4 linked regions of the Danio rerio genome follow. The protein of the gene in region 1 interacts with the protein of each later gene in a pairwise test. Links are inferred from orthologs where the notes say so. Each region holds a gene or a part of one and is shown in the gene's direction. Other genes may lie near its edges.

The links.
Region 2: the proteins of vps52 (region 1) and fam161a interact in binary tests that used the Homo sapiens proteins (3 or more experiments, as listed by UniProt). The link is inferred for Danio rerio from reciprocal best matches to the Homo sapiens genes VPS52 and FAM161A.
Region 3: the proteins of vps52 (region 1) and wtap interact in binary tests that used the Homo sapiens proteins (3 or more experiments, as listed by UniProt). The two-hybrid records come from large-scale screens. The link is inferred for Danio rerio from reciprocal best matches to the Homo sapiens genes VPS52 and WTAP.
Region 4: the proteins of vps52 (region 1) and ddx6 interact in binary tests that used the Homo sapiens proteins (3 or more experiments, as listed by UniProt). The two-hybrid records come from large-scale screens. The link is inferred for Danio rerio from reciprocal best matches to the Homo sapiens genes VPS52 and DDX6.

Annotation. Positions count from the first base shown.
Region 1 is NC_133194.1:20,899,330-20,902,950, forward strand, and holds the end of vps52 (vacuolar protein sorting-associated protein 52 homolog), read left to right. Parts: intron 1-1,422; coding exon 1,423-1,541; intron 1,542-1,654; coding exon 1,655-1,801; 3' UTR 1,802-2,668; downstream 2,669-3,621. UniProt on the Homo sapiens protein: Acts as a component of the GARP complex that is involved in retrograde transport from early and late endosomes to the trans-Golgi network (TGN).
Region 2 is NC_133176.1:57,142,937-57,147,477, reverse strand, and holds the start of fam161a (protein FAM161A), read left to right. Parts: upstream 1-1,551; 5' UTR 1,552-1,643; coding exon 1,644-1,796; intron 1,797-3,012; coding exon 3,013-3,275; intron 3,276-4,541. Other genes in the region: cct4 (T-complex protein 1 subunit delta), read left to right, coding at 106-120. UniProt on the Homo sapiens protein: Involved in ciliogenesis.
Region 3 is NC_133195.1:33,717,195-33,722,078, reverse strand, and holds the end of wtap (pre-mRNA-splicing regulator WTAP), read left to right. Parts: intron 1-98; coding exon 99-277; exon of another isoform or gene 278-1,002; intron 1,003-2,595; coding exon 2,596-2,750; intron 2,751-2,857; coding exon 2,858-3,522; 3' UTR 3,523-4,061; downstream 4,062-4,884. UniProt on the Homo sapiens protein: Associated component of the WMM complex, a complex that mediates N6-methyladenosine (m6A) methylation of RNAs, a modification that plays a role in the efficiency of mRNA splicing and RNA processing.
Region 4 is NC_133193.1:46,835,444-46,839,553, reverse strand, and holds part of ddx6 (probable ATP-dependent RNA helicase DDX6), read left to right. Parts: intron 1-1,696; 5' UTR 1,697-2,128; coding exon 2,129-2,331; intron 2,332-2,415; coding exon 2,416-2,479; intron 2,480-2,594; coding exon 2,595-2,699; intron 2,700-4,110.

The DNA of each region.
Region 1 (3,621 bases):
AACTTTAGTTTACTTAGTTAAGATGGCTGCACTAAAGATAATAGTTTTTTCTGATTGGTCTATATTGGAGGTATTTATTTAATTGTTGTTGTTTACTCGGGTATCCTGACTGTACTAAAATGTGAAAACTGAAAATTCTGTGACCATTAACTCACCTTTACTTCCAAACCGGGTTGTTCCAAACCGGTTTTATTTTTATTTTTTTCTGATGTTAAACAATAATATCCAATAACTTGTAGGTAATGTCTTTGGTTGTTGAAAACTTGAACTGTAAATGCTGAATTAAGATTGTTCTTTTGTTTATTATTGTATTATTTATATTGTCAGACAGCTAAAACATTTAACTTAATGTGTTAAATCAGCTGCACAGAGCATTTGGCATACTGAAAATCTTGTAAAATGGATAGATATAAAGATTTTACGTTTATCGTGATAAATATCGACATCGACTGATACAAAAAAAATAATCGTGATAATTTTTTTTGCCATATTGCCCAGCTCTATGTTCATCTTTTAGTGTACTTTCACACTAGCTCTTGTGGTTGGTGCTCATCTGGGTTTATTTGACATCAGAGTTTGGTTCATTTGGCTAATGTGTATGGCGAGTGAATAGTGATACAAATCACCAAAGGACACTGTACTTCTAGCTGTGAAACCTTCACAGATGTGTGACACCCATGTCACCTCAAAATGTGATTAATGTGATTATTGAGATATAACACAATTTAACAATTTAATATAACACCCAACATAAATTATAAATGATAGTGTTGAACAGTAAATACTGGGATAATAGTTTCTAGTTTACATATAAACACTGGTGTTTACGGTAAGGATTAAATTATTAAATTAAACACTGTTTAAATGACAGTGCTTTTAACTTGACGTTCAAAAATAAAAGTTGTAGCACCAATTGCATTATTTCACCAGCAGGTAGATTCAGCCATCAAAATTTGCCACTAAATAATTCTTCAGAAATTATACACATAGTAATGAAACTTGACGTTTTATGAGTGAATTACTCGATCATACATTGAAAATGAGACAAAAAAATAAATACAATGTGTTGTTTAAATTATAATATTAGATTTTTACATTTAGCATTATTAGCAACTGTAGCAAAGATCATTTCTCACAGTATTGCATATTTTATGATTTATTTTTATTCAATGGATTATTTATTTATTTATATTTTTCTTAATAAAATTGCAGCTTCTATTTGTTCTATTTGTTAAAACCAAAAGTTTCTCGTAGTACTATTTCTGTAATATATATATATGTGTGTGTGTGTGTGTGTGTGTGTGTGTGTGTGTGTGTGTGTGTGTGTGTGTGTGTGTGTGTGTGTGTGTGTGTGTGTGTGTGTGTGTGTGTGTGTGTGTGTGTGTGTGTTATACGCTTTATCTTCCTGTGTCTATTTGTCAGCTCGTATTACTCAGTTGGTGCGGGGATTCTCCGGCACATGGAAGCAGTCTGTGGAGGCCCTGAGTCAGGATGTTATGCGCTCCTTCACCAACTTTAAAAACGGAACCAGCATAATTCAGGTACAACATAATGGCAACTTAAAGTTTTGGGACAATTTTTGTCCTAATGGTTTTCTTTATCTATTTACAATGTGCTGTAACAAATTTGAAATCATTATGGTTGTGTTCACTAGGGAGCGCTGACCCAGCTCATCCAGTACTATCATGGTTTCCATAAGGTCCTCTCCCAGCCAACATTCCGCAGTCTGGCAGTGCGCTCTGAGCTCATAAACCTTCATCATCTGATGGTGGAAGTCAAGAAACACAAACCAAACTTTTGAATGCAACACTTAAGGAAGAAAAACTTTACAAAAAATAAAATAAATAAACAGCTTTCAGAAAATCTATTGACATATTTAAAGGGATAGTTCAAACATTCATTCTTTTTTTTTTTTTTTTGGCTTAGTCTCTTCTTCAGAGGTCACCACAGCAAAATAAACTACCAATTATTCCAGCATATGATTTACAGGGAAAGACCCATACACACGCATTCTAACACATTGTAAACTACGACCATTTTAGTTTATTCCATTTACCTCTACCGCATGTCTTTGGGCTGTGTGGGGTAACCGGAGTGTCCAGAAGATAATTACACGAACCCAGGGATAACATGAAAACAGAAATGCCTGCTGGCCCAGCTGGCGAACCAGCAACATTCTTGCTGTGAGACAACAATTTAATAATTAAGGAACATAAATTTTAAGGCACACTGGAAACCAGTAAACATTGACTTTTAAAGTTAATTATATACTATGGAAGTCAATGGCTACCAGTTTTCAAAAAAAGAAACAGGTTTGGAACAAATTGAGGTAAAGTACATGAGAGGCAGTTGAAAGAATTTTTATTTTTGGGTGACCTTTTTCTTAAACAGAAGTGTGGGTTAATTTTTGTTTCCACTTGGAGTACTTTCTTTCTTTTTGATATTATTAAGAATCATTCAGTATCTTGTTTTAAGCTGATTATGGTATTTTTCATTAGGTGCATTTGATTAGTTTTTCTCCAATGCAATTTGGTTTCTAGCTGTTTAATTTGTAAATGTACTTGCAACTTCACTAAATATTTTATTTATTGTTTTTTTTATTTTAATTTGTGTATGATCTGCATATAATCACATATTTAACCAATCAGAAAGTAAACATTGACCTGTCTTTTGTTTTTCACTGAAAAGTTCTTTATGGATGCATTATTGTTGTATTTAATTTAAAATAATAAAAAAAATACATCTTTTGAAAAAAAAATGCAGCATATTACAGTTTTTCTCAGTCGCTTTGGTGCATTTCTCACTACACTTACATTTGCACAACAGTTAATGCATTTTTCAAAACAATTAGTGCAAACTGCGAAACCTAGCTGTCAAAATGAAAAGTCCTGACACCATTGTTTATGAACAAGATAGTCAAATGGCTTTTCATTAGTCAAATGTCATGTCTTCATTATGACAGTTTACTCTGTACATTTTTTCAATGCAAAAAAAGTTAGATTTTGGTGACACGTCATGAAAATGCTTAAGACAGCACTATATATACTATTAGCACAGCCATTTGAACACTACAGTAAAGTTAGACATCACTGCACTGAGTGAGGTATCTAAGTACAAGACACTGAATATGTATGTTTCACAATTTTACTGCATTTGCTCTTTGCAATCCTAATTTACTCACAGCATTGTGCAAAAGAATAAACACACCCTTATTTACAACAAACATAAACTCCCTTTAGGTAGAGCTGTTCACAACTGTGAACAATATTGCAGTACATATTGGAACTGAGCCTACAACATACACAGGTCTGTAAATCATTCATCAAATTGTTAAATTTTAATGACATTTTCAGGAAAATAAAGATTTAAATTTGTTTTATAAAATTTGTTTGACAGATTTTGACAACTAGTTCACCATTTTTGTATGTAATGACTCAAGTAATGAAATGAGGACTATTAGTTTTATATGGAATGACTATTCAGCATTTACAAATTTAGTTCATTTTGACGGACATGACAGAAGCAAATGATAATGTTATAAATAGCAGAGAGTGGAATGAAAGCAATTGATGCTTGTCCAAAAGCATTCACAATTTGTTGAAAAGAATGAGAAACTGCTAC
Region 2 (4,541 bases), on another chromosome or scaffold:
TTGTATAAAAAATGGCTGTTGTGCCTCATCTTAAATGACCCTTAAATTAGCACTGATGTTGTCTGTAATTATCCAGCCATTAATGCCATGTCATTTGTTCTGCAGGTGAACACACGATAAAGTGTTTGAAGAAGGAAGATCCAAACCCCGCGCCGGCACTCCGATAAGACCAACTGATCTGTCGCTGTCTGTAGATGTTACCTGGAGTAATTTAATTAAACATGTTTTTTTTGACACTGTATGTCTTGTCTTTGGTGTTATTTGTGCACATGTTTTTGTTTCTGTTAGGTTTATTGAGGGTTTACTGTGGTCGGTGCATCTCTGCATGTCAGCTTAATCTTATTAGCTAATCACCTTATCTGATCAGAATAGAGCATTGCTCCAGGGCCTGAGAAAGTCTGAAATCAAGAGCTGGACATTCACTCTTCTAATAAACAACCTTTGTTTTTATTTTAGAAATGCGCTAGAGTGTTTTAACCTAATTTGCTAAACTTGGTATTTCCCTGTAACGTGATTTTAACCAGTATTTGGTCTGCTTTTAAATTTATGTAAGTACATTTTTCTGAACTTTTGAATTAAAAAAGAAGCTTATTTTGGTATGAGGATACGCATAATATTAATGGTTGGGTTTATACATTTTGGTAAATGTAATTTTAATGAGTGTATAATTTTTATTAATTACAGGAAATCTTGTAGCAACAAAATTGAATGCTGGTATTTTAGGACATGGCTCATTTTAAGGGTGTGGTAAACAGTTTTATTTTATTAAAATATCTTTAGTCATCATTTTTTAAGAGTATGGCAAGTGGAATAGTCCAAAGTAGTACCATTTACAGCTAGCTGAAAACATTTTAAAAATATTTATGTATTTAAATATATGCTTTAAGTATGTGTTTATTGTTCAAAAAGCACCTGGAAACTAATACTTAAGATTACTAGTCGTGGAAAAATTAGGGTGCCATTTTAACAGCCAAAAAAACTATAGCCTACAATGTTTTTATTTATTTTTTAATTAATTTTTTTGTCTTGAAGTTTGGTGACTTCTAAATTTAGCCCAACCTTACGTACAAATGGTACAACAGTGGTCCTTTGGGTCAATTTTAACTAGCCAGATATAAGGCCATTTTTACACCACAAAGTCTACTGGCACACACGCATTCACACTTTAACAAACAATGAGAAACTGTTGCTTTATATAAACCTTTGTACACTTATCCAGGTGTCTTTTAGCATTGGTAAATATACCCTTCAGTCAGAAACGAGTGTTGCCCACTGACTAAACATTGATGAAACACTAATGAGGGGAAAACTAGACATTCACAGAGTTTGTGATGAAAATGAGGTAGTTTCTTCGTTTAAAATTTATTTAAGGATTGAAATGTAATTTATCTGATTTATTTTAGAGGTTTAGTAGTTTTTCACCGAAGGACGAATGGTGTATACAGAATTCCAAGACAACAGTAGGGTTAAAACGGAGAGAAATGTTTACATCCTTACTAGTTCTTTCAAATGCGCGCTCCCGCAGATTAGCGCCCCCGACGCTACGCGGTCGTCAAGGAGACGCGCTCCCGCTACGGTTCAGGGAGGAAGTCAGTCAGTCATTCGTTTATATCAAATCTACCGCTTTGGAAAGAGAAGCAGATATGAAGAAATCGCACCGTACAAATGTCTTGGTGACATCCTGTCTGAAGACCCCGGTGGACCCGCAAACCAAAGTGCCGTTAGCTCAGTACGAGCGGGAGCGGACACTGCCGCGCGCGGCCGCGATGACGGACAACAGGCACTATGAAAAAGAGGTGACTAAAAGCTATTAAACCGCAATAAATACAGTTCTAAAGTTATTTTAAAGGATGATGGTGATGTTTAACGTGTAAAAAGTCATTACATCAATGGAAATGTCTTTTCTTTTTTGGGATTGAAACTATTTTGAGGAGACAATGTTGCGAGGAGTTGTGTCCGTGAAGTTAACATGATAGACTGGTTAAACATCTCTTTAATGGATTAAGTGGAAACATTAACTTTAGTTTTAACTTGTGTAACTCCATGAAAATGGTTCAAAAATCATGTTTTGCTCGTTTAAAAGTAATAAGGACAAATCAATAGGCTTCACTGTGGTTATGAGTGTTTACATGGGTATAGCTAAATATAACTAAATAAACCTCAAAGGTTAATATGTTACATACGTAACGTTACTATTTTATTTATCTTTTTCTGCAATACACAACCTTATTTGTTAGCATGATGTAAGATGTAGAGTAATATAGTGTTGATAACATGACCAGGATGCTGATTAAACAGACAATCTCCTGTATGAATGGAGAACACAATCTGCCATCTGGTCCTAAAGCTGACACAGACCTGCAGATTAACAGATTACACACACACAGTCTTCTCATGTTGCACACATACAACTACTGACCGCACAAATGTTGTTCAGACTTAAATTTCACTATAGAAGAGTGTGACGTATGAAAACACAAGGCTTCAGCCAACAGTCCTTGGTTTCTTTGTATATATAAACACGTCTGTAACACCACTGTTTTCTCAGTCAAGGCTTCCTAAAGAATTACACAGATTAGGTTGCGTATTTAATAAATATATGAAAAGGTTTTAAAGGGATACTTCACCCAAAAATGAAAATTCAGCCTTCTTTTCCAAACCAATTTGAGTTTGTTTTCATGACCACGAAAGAAGACATTTCGAAGGATGTTGGAAACCAGTAATCATTGACGTCTATAATATTTGTTTTTCCTACTAAGGAAGTCAATGGTTACATGTTTTCAGCATTTTTCAAATTATCTTCTTTTGTGTTCAACAGAAGAAAGTCAAACTGGTTTGAAACAAGTCAACAGTAAGCACATATTTGGTCGTACTGTCTCTTTAATAATATAAAACCTATAGTTATCCATTGGCATTTTAACCTGTTTGGATGTATGCTAACAAATCCGCCTGTTATCATAGTGTGCATTTTACAATACATTTTAATTTTACATTTTACATACATTTTAACAGATGGAGTATGACTCTGGATCTGATTTGGTGGCTGATGACCCTCCTGCCAAAGACAACAATGCTCTGCTTATCAAAGACTACCGTGTGACGGGCGATCGCATCGACCTCAGGGAGTTTTACTTCTCAAACCAGGAGTACTACCGTAAACTAGAACAGCTGAAAACAGCTCACCTCCAAACAATGGCTGAACTCGAACTAATGTATCGCAAGAAACTCGACCTTAAAGGAGCGACTGCTGTGGACAACACTGAGCGGGCCAATCTGTGAGTTTATGTACATAATATATAAGCACAATAATAAGTGAAATGTTATCATATTTTAAATGTTTTATATTTGAATATATTTCGCATTATCATTTATTCCTGAGAGCAACACAATGGCTCAGTGGTTAGCACTGTCACCTCAAAGCAAGAAGGTTGCTGGTTCGAGGCCCAGCTGGGTCAGTTGGCATTTCTGTGTGGAGTTTGCAAACTAAATTGGCTATAGTGTATGTGTGTGAATGAGTGTGTATGGATGTTTCCCAGGACTGGGTTGCAGCTGGAAGATTATCCGCTGTGTTTAACAAATGCTGGTTAAGTTGGCACTTTATTCCGCTTTGATGTCCCCTGATAAATCAAGGGACTAAGCCAAAGGAAAATGAATGAATGAATGAATTTATTCCTGTGATGCAATGCTGAATTTGCGGCTAGTCTTCAGTGTCATGCGATCTATCAGAAATCATTGTAATGCTGTTTCACTGCTCAAGAAACATTTCTTACTATCAAAGACGTTAAAAAAGATAGATGCCGCTCAGAATTTTTATGAAAATTAGGGATTTTCTTTCATTTAAGTAGTAGCAGTTTTGGCTAAGTTTCTTCAAAAAATATTTAATTTGCCTACTAATTATTAATAATTAAAACTCCATTGTATTTAAATAACTTTTCTATTACTATATCTGAAAAATTATTTGATCACTACTAAAGTAACTGACTTAATACTACATAAAATTCCTATAAATCTTAATGAGTAGACAATAGAAAATTGAATCAGAGTCAAACTTTTACAAAATTAAAAGTAAAGCAGGTCAATAACTAACGTGAATTTTAGTTTACAAACAAAAAGTTTGAAGGTCAAAGGTTAAATGTGTCAAAACTAATTTTTTAATTAATAATTTTTTTAAGCATGATTGACATGTGTAACTATCTTTAGTTGAAAAACAGAGTTATACAGTTAACTATAGTTGCATTACTGAGAAAAAAAAATATTTCTTTGTTTTTCTCAATTGATTTCTACAATGAAAGTACAATACAAATACCTATAATTAATTAACCTAAAAATGAACAGTAATCCCTTACTTTTGTACAATTTTCAGTGTAAAAGTAGTTTAATTACAGTGACCATTCATTCATATTCCTTCGGCTTCATCCCTAAATTTATCAGAGGTCGCCCCAGCGGAAGGAACTGCCAACTTATCCAGCATATGTTTTACACAGCTGATGCCCTTCCAACCGCAACACACACTCATACACTCTCCTATGCACACACATATA
Region 3 (4,884 bases), on another chromosome or scaffold:
AAATATGTATGAGCCTTTTATATACGTACTTGCATACTCCATTGACTTTTAATTTTTAGTTTGAAATGCTGAGATTCTAATGGTCTCTTACCTTGCAGACCCAAATCCAGTACCTGAAGCAAGTCCAGCAACCGAGTGCAGCTCAGCTGAGATCGTCCATGGTGGACCCAGCCATCAACTTATTTTTCCTCAAAATGAAGGCTGAACTGGAACAGACTAAAGACAAACTGGAGCAAGCCCAAAATGAACTGAGTGCCTGGAAATTTACACCTGATAGGTAAACTAAAATAACTCCCCCCTCCAAACAAAAAGTCAAGACTTTCCTGATTCACCCCCACCTTCTCCTCTGCAGGAGTGCAGATAATGGTGGGGGAAGACTGAAATGTGTTGCTCACAACGAGACTCAGACTTTAAAGCAAAAAAGCTCAGAACAAAAGACATTTTTCTTTTGTATTGCCCTGCTATTACACATACCGTAATGTAAAATCAGAACAGAACACGGCAGTTTGGTCAGGTGACACTTTTGTTTCAGCTCTTTCTCTCCCCCCCACACCCCTCATGGTACAGAAGCCTGAAGGAATCGGGACTGTTCCTGAAGAGGTGGTCACGTCGGAAACTCAGCCCGTGTTAGAAAGCTTCCTGTAACAAATAAGGCGGCCTATGAAAGACTTGAGCAAAGCGTTGGCTCTGGAGCTGGTTGAACTGTAGTTTGCAGGTCACTGATTGAACATTTAAAACATGACATGGCCCAACTAAATGTGTTGCAGAGGAAAATGCCCCCATATAAACTCCATCATAGATGCTTTGAGACTCTGGTTAAGAATCTAGAATGTAAAACAGGGAGGCGGGAATGTAGTGTGATGCAATGAAATGGGGGTGGAGTTAAGCAATCTTAAGACTTTGGGGGAGAAAGCCTTTATGATGTAAGACTTTGGGGGAGGAATCAGACATTCTGATCTGCAAAGACTTTCATATATGTTCATCTCACAGGTGCGACATACGGTACAGTGTCTTAAACCTTTTATCTTTTTTTGTGTTCGTAATATTATACTTTGTTTTTGCTCTGGAAACACTCCTTGCATTCACAGTAGAGTGGTCCAAACGAATTGAATTTATTTAAAATTGGCTGTTGCACTGCTGTGGATGCGAATATAATTGTTCTTTTCGATGTGAATGCAAATGTGCCATGTGTGATAGTAATATGTGTGAATAGTACAGCTATTCAATGTTCAAATGTCTGTGTATGATCATTTGTATTTTAACTTGTGTACCTTTCTAATCCACTTTTTATTTTTCGGTCATCCAGTGAAAGTTTAATTTTCTTTTTTTTTTTCTCTCAGGTCACAAATTTTTTGCAGGTATTTTGCTCATTAGAAATGTTCTAGCAAAATCTTACACTTCAACTTTGTTGGATTTCCTATCTGAGTGAATCAAAAGTAGTTGAAAATATTTAGTCAAAAGTCTTTTGAAATATTGACTGCTCTAAAGTGGCATAAAGAATTAAGCGGTTGTCATTGGAAGTTAGTTGTAGGATTCCCATAAAAGTTGCTGAATTGGTTTAAGGAAATTGTTTGTATTTGATTGTTGTTACATTTGATCTCAAACTGCTCTTAAATGTAAAATGTGAGCATTCGTTCTGAAGAGAGTTTAAGTCTTATTGTTTAAGGACAGTAGTGTTACTGCTGTATCTGGCAGAAAAGCACTCAAGTATATTCTAATACTAAAGAAAACATCAACATATCAGTATAATCTTTGCCAAGTTTTTTACTGGAAATAGGTTAAAGGTGCTGCTAATTTAAATGAAGCGCTCTGGCCATGCAACTTTATTGCATCTTTGTAATATTTTGCAGTGATAAGAAATTGATCTGCCTACTGTCAAGACTCTTTGTCATGTAGTATAGAACCAGTCATTTTTTTAATCAACTGATGCAGATATTGTTGGTAGCTCGTAGCTACTTTTAGATTAACAGGTAGGTACTAATAGTCACTGAAATGGAAATTGCTAATTGGTTTTGTACCATGGTCAATTACCTGGAGTACTATCCTGTTAGATGCGTTCAGATGTATTGCACTTGTTGGTTTACTTGATTTGGTCTGCCAAATGTTCATGCATCTTTTCCCAGTATTGTTTAAACTGTTACTTGATTTTCTTGATTGTTGTTGAGTATGTTTACATGCACACCAGGAAACTGCTTATTGCGAAAGATTTGTGAAAGTATCATTGTGCTGACATGTTTTGTCAAAGCAGCATATACCTGTGGCACGATTAGCATTTATTTGGCTGCCTGATCTTTTTCCATGCACTCTTCAAAAAGCTGCCTATGCATTTACATGACTACATAAGACACAATCTCTGCTAGCATTCTGCCAATGTTAAATCATGTTGACTTTCTTAAGAATACCAAGCTGTTTTCATTAGTGCTTGTAAACATACTCTAATGGTCAACTATATTTACCAGTCCGAAGACCAGTGTGGCCATTGGAGAGTTGGAAGCTATTTCTGGTTGTTACCTTCTAGTTTGTAAATGCAATGGTCACTTGTGTTGACCCTGTGGCCATGTTCACGATGTGATGTTAGACTTGTTTCCCTTGCAGCCAGACTGGTAAGAAGCTGATGGCGAAATGTCGCATGCTGATCCAGGAGAATCAGGAGTTGGGTAGGCAGCTTTCCCAAGGGCGCATAGCCCAGTTGGAGGCCGAGCTTGCCTTGCAGAAGAAGTACAGCGAAGAGCTCAAAAGCAGCCAAGATGGTGAGCGAAAGTCTTTCTTTGGTCAACTCCATTCTGGATTGTTTTGAGCAGATCTCCACTCATCTTTGTGTGTTCTCTTTTTTTACCCATGTATTTTTGTGGTCCAGAGCTGAATGACTTCATCATTCAGCTGGATGAGGAGGTGGAGGGCATGCAGAGCACCATCCTGGTTCTGCAGCAGCAGCTGAGGGAGACCAGGCAGCAGCTGTCTCAGATGAACCAAACCCAAGGCACTTCTAGTGGAGCTGGCCCAAGCAGAACTTCCCCTTCAACAGCCTCCGAACCTTCCACTCAGAGTGAACCAGCCAACGCCTCCAGTTCAAATGTGGGGAAAGACTGCGGAAGGGTGTCCAATGGACCCTCCAATGGGAACTCATCTCAGAGGGGTGCATCTGGCTCTAGTTTGTACAGGGAAGCAAGCAGTGCAGATGAAGATTACCCTCCATCACCCTCTGTCTCCAGCCCCACCCATGATGGCATATCAAAACTCTCCAACCACTCAGAAGATGCAGTGAGCCAGAGGGGTGGAGAAGGGTACGTGACTCAGCTAAGTGCAGGCTATGAGAGCGTGGACTCGCCTACAGGCAGTGAGACGTCAGTGACCCAGCACTCGAACGATACAGACTCCAATGCTGACTCCCACGAGGCCGCTGCTGTCCCCAAAGGCAGCAGGACTGCAGGTACGCGGCACAGCACTCAGAATGGCCTGGACTCATCTGCAGCAGCAGTTGCCACCAACACCTCCAATGCCTCTGCAGGGTCTGTTTTGTAACATTCTTCTAGTTTCTGTTCATTTTTTTTTTTTTTAAGTAACTCACAACAAATAAACAAAACAACCCGTCACACTTCAGGCCAGTTAGTTCTTGTTCAAGAAGTGGTCAAAAGCATCACTTTTGTTTTGTACCCTCCTTCCCATCATAACCTATTTCAGTACATTTGCTACATGCTCGAAACTGATTACGTTTATAAAATGAGCAACACTGCGTTTGTATATTTGATTTTTTTTAATGAGAGTTTTAAACCATTTTCCTCTGTCGAAGTGATATAAACACTCGGTTCTGTACTGTTCATTTGCTCACTTGCTAGAACTCTGAATGATTTAGCTATGTGTGATGTATCAATGCTCAAGTCTTGAAACTGCAAGTTCAGAGTCCTTAGTTTCCTGATGTTGAACTTTTTTTGTTCCTCTACATGACGAGAGAAAACGTTTTTGTTTGACTTGTGTGTAGTTTTTCAAGACGTATCTTGTTAAATTCTGATTTCGATCCTTTTCATGTACTGACCAAATATCAATAAAGAGTTTTAATATGACTCTGTTCTTGCTTTGTTTTTCTGCCTTGAATTGTCAAAATGATTGTCTAACAACATCAAGTTAATGAATTAAATAAAAGTTTGATGTTCTGCTGTAAAGTGACATTTTAATAAACAACTGATTTGTAGAGAAGATTGGGGTTTAGGTTTTAGTTAGCCGTCCACACCGTTAGATGGCGCTACCTCAAAATAAAACCAATGCATCCTACTTTTGTGTCCTGATGACGACAAAGCTTTCGTATTCGTTTATCAAATGAATGGGACACCGAGAAGTAGGACGTTCCGCAGTACAACCTGCATTCAGACAGAGTCAGCCTACCAAGCACATAACCAACCTACCGGACAGCAAAGATGAACACGGATGCGATTGTTATCGTTTCTGCCGCAAGGACTCCTATAGGTAAACTTAATCTCATATATCCTATCTTTATGGCTCTTTTCTCACAATACTAAGTAACGTTACATTCTACCTTTTAGCTGTTATCTGCAGCTTGTTTATGGGTTACAGTAGAAAGTTGTATGTCCTGTATGGTTAAGTTACATGAATGAAGAACAAAACAAGGTGATCTGCACGACGAATCTTGTTGAAGGAGACTGTTTGCCGTAGTAAATCGTATTTTTTTGTCACAGTTGTTGATTTGAATGATTGTGCTACACGGCTGTCTTGGACTGTCTCGCTATGGTGCAGAAGGAAAGTAAAGCCGCTCTTATTGGTTGCTCAGCGTTCTCTGCCGAGTATTCGTGCTCTGATTGGTTGCTCGGTCTTCTCCCTAGTGTTTATTATCCTCTGATTGGTCATGTTATTGTAGCACCATGGCCAGGT
Region 4 (4,110 bases), on another chromosome or scaffold:
CTGCAGTTTGGCACTTTCACTCAGGAACATTTCATGCATGCCTCCCCTGACAAATGAAATATTGGATGAGTATTTAATGCTGTAAGAGGGTCGTTTTATTGGAATTTGATAACGCACGCAGTATTGGAAACATAAACTCCACATTTCATGATGCAGGTGTCTGTGATTCCTCACTGACTCGGTAGGTACAGAGAATAGTGTCAAACAGCTGTGTGTATGAAATGTCCAGTCACAAAATGCAGCAAATCCCACATGATGGTAATAGTTTCATTCAAGGTGTTTACATGTCTACTGCAGTTTAGTAATGTGACTAAAATTGGCATACTCCATGTCTTAATCTTATTTGTTTAATTTGATAATGACCTTAATCAGATTAATTTATCGCTATTTGCATGGACTCTTAATCAGAATATTGTCTTAATCACGTTTACATAGACACCAATAAAGCAATTTTTATATACTCATTGTTCATCCTTCTCTTCTCCTTAAGTTTCATAAATGGTTCAGATGAAGAAATATTTTTAAGTTAATGTCCGGATGGCATTAAGCAAGTTTTGCATATTGAGATTTTGCTACAAAATGTTAACATGTACAAACTTGATGGATCAAAATTTTTGAATTTGTAGTGATTTGGGAATTATCTCAGATCTTGTACAAAGCGATTTATTTTTAAAATCTCTGTTTACCAATTTGCATATGGTGTCATAATATTAGCCACTATGAAATCTTAAAACTTGTGTGTGTGTGTGTATATTTATTTATACATATATATATATATATATATATATATATATATATATATATATATATATATATATATATATATATATATATATATATATATATATATATATATATATATATATATATATATATATAAGATAAAAACACAAAACAACACCAGCAAAATAAGAAAAGATCTTCATCTGTAGGGCTGGTCCATTTGGCCTAAAATCAAAATCTAAAACTAACCATTTAGAAAATTCAACAAATATTTTATTTATTTGCCCTCAAAGTTTTATGTGCTGTCTAAAGGCATTTCTGGCACAGCTTCCAATCCTCGTCAATGTAGTGCAAAGTAAGGCTCAAGAATGAGTCCATCGTCCTACTTGACCAAAGGTCATATTTGGCTACAGAAGTAGAAATTAGCCACAGCCTTTAACAAAGCAGGGTCACCTGACACGTAGGGAAAGTACTTGTGAAAATTGTCCTGGAAAAATTAGATCGATTATTAGTGAATGTTGATTTCGATTAATTGCCTAGCCCTATTCATCCATTTTACAGCACGTTATGCAAATCCTCACAACGCAAATTTTTTAAAAAATTCACTTAATTTTCTCACAATGCAAACAAATGAATAAAACGCACTGCATTTTCTTATAATGCAAACTTATGAAAATGAAAAATGAATTTCATCACTGCAATTTCTCACCGCACTATCAAAAAGCACAATTTTTTTGTGATCTTTTCTGAATTTGCTGGCATTTTTTTGTATTTGCATGCTTTTTTATTTTATTTAAGCTCTCTTTGCTACTGTAAGATGTGGCATGATGCCAGTTTTTTTTTTTTTTTTTTTTTGGAAAATCCTCTAACTGAAAAAAAAATTGGAACCAGTAACCAGTGTTTTTATTGACTGAAATCTTGTAGTGGTTTGGTCTAACGTTTCACGTTTATAATGCTTCTCTCTCTCACACAGGTGGAAAACATTTGAAATCGCCCATGTTAACTAATTTGAGAGAAGGGAATGGACAGAACAATTGAAAAGACTAACACTGGCTTCCTGGCCCCTTGTCTGTGAAACTTTCCTTTTGCAGAGGAGAAATTCACTCATTAATGGAAGGATAATTGAAGCTAATCTTCCTGCTTATAGCATCTGTGACCTGTTGCTTGAGTGACATTCATATTGAGATGTTCCACAAGAGACTTTTATATTGAGGAACAAGGAACTGGTAAAAAAATTTTGCTTGAACTTTTTTTTTTTTTTTTTTTTTGCTTTTGTGCGCTTTGGACACTGAGAAAGCTGTGGGAAGGACGACTTGCAAATTAATTTTTTTGCAAGACCATCAAGAGAAAGTATTATCTCCACTGTTGTTTGTCGCTCACTGTTTCAAGAGAGAATATTTAAGTCATGAGTACAGCCAGAATGGAGAACCCAGTGATTCTGGGACTGTCCAATCAGAACGGCCAAATGCGAGGTTCTGTGAAGCCAGCAGGGGGTCCCGGTGGAGGTGGAGGGGGGTCCCAAACAACACAGCCTGCCCAGGTCAAAGCCTCTAGCACAGTCAACAATGGCAACTCCCAGCCTGTACCCACAGCCAACACTATCATCAAGTAAGTCCTTGCAAATGCCGCTGTGTGCTGCTTTCTTAGAGATGATTTGGTATTTAACTTTTTCTTTCCCTTCCCATGTATCAGGCCTGGAGATGACTGGAAGAAGAATCTAAAGCTTCCTCCAAAAGATTTGCGAATGAAAACATCAGTAAGTCCCTCTGTAATTTTGTGTTTTTTATTTAATTTTATAAAGGCTGTGAACCACAATGCTTTTTTGATTTCTTTAACATTTCTAGAACACTCAATGATTGTGAATTTTGCAGGATGTGACGGCGACCAAGGGAAATGAGTTTGAAGATTATTGCCTAAAACGAGAGCTGCTTATGGGCATCTTTGAAATGGGCTGGGAGAAACCATCACCTATACAGGCAAGAGGCAAAATAAAGACACTGGAAATTTTAGATATGAATTACTATTATTTGAAGAGGGCAGTCTTGATCTTAAAGAGTCTTAACACTTATACCATGTGTAGAGCCTAGTTACTTTTTCATCAATGCAGTCCTAATATTTAAATGTAATTTTAATTTGTAACATTAAATCTATTAAAATAATCAGTTTTAATCAAGTTCTGATTTATTTTTACTTTTTTAGATTGTCTTAATTTAAATCAAATCATGTGCAAATTTAGTTTTTTTTATTTTTAAGTTGTCTTCTAGAATTTAATAAATTTATTGGCAGTAATTGGATAATCAAATGTAAGGGCGAAACAATGTTTAGTAAAATAATTATAAATTTTTATTTTTTGTATCCTGAGATTGTTGCAACCGATTTATTGTTGACTTAATTGTAAATGTACATCCATAGTAGTAATGGGACTTTCTAATTCACAATATTAATGTTAATTATTTATTTTTCAAATTTAATTATTTGAAATAAGTTTTTTTTTTTTTTTAAATAAAGCTCAACCAAATTTTAAGTTTGACTAAAGGCATTTTAACTGTGTGTGATTGTAACGATAGTGTTTATCGCATGAAACTGTGAAATGCTTGCACAGTGACTGTCTGATCAGTTCTGGAGATGATACATGTCCTCATAGTGAGACAGTGGATTCTTAAAGGGATATTCACCTAAAAATGAGAATTTGTCCAGTAACTTTTTTTTGAATCCAAAACAAACTTTGTTCATACGTTCATTGACAGAGAATGAGATCTGCATGCAAAAAAAAAAAAAAACTTCTCGAAATTGGCTTATTGCTGGTGAAAGAAACTTCTATAAATTTTCTAACCATTGGGACCACATTGTTTTTATCCATTGTAGAATCAGTCACTCCAGAATGACAAGTTCTTAATACCTGGAGAAGATCCTCCCACACGGTTCTATTTGTGAAAGCACTTTAAATTTTTTTTTAATTGTTGGATTTAATTTTGTGAGAATTGTTTTTTTCTTGTTTTTTTTTTTATTCAGTTCATTTTTTTAAAGCAGTTTTTTTACACTGATAATCTAAAAGTTGGAGAGTTTAGCAAATATAAATTGAAAAGCCTTATTATAATTTATGTCTCCAGAATACCTTTTTCTCGCTGTGAAAATAGCCATACGATCTGGCATTGTATTAAACAATCATTTGCTCATGTGGTTTTAAACCTTTTGAGTTCTGTTAGTCACCAAAGTAGATATTTAGGTAGCTGGCAATAACTGACTTCCATAGTCATTTATGGACATCATTGGTTGCCAACTATCAGTATTTCTCTATCTACATTTGTGTTCAACAGAAGAAAGAAACTCAAATGGGTTTTGAACCAATGAACTGAGAAGTTATGGCAGAACTTTCATTTTTGGTTG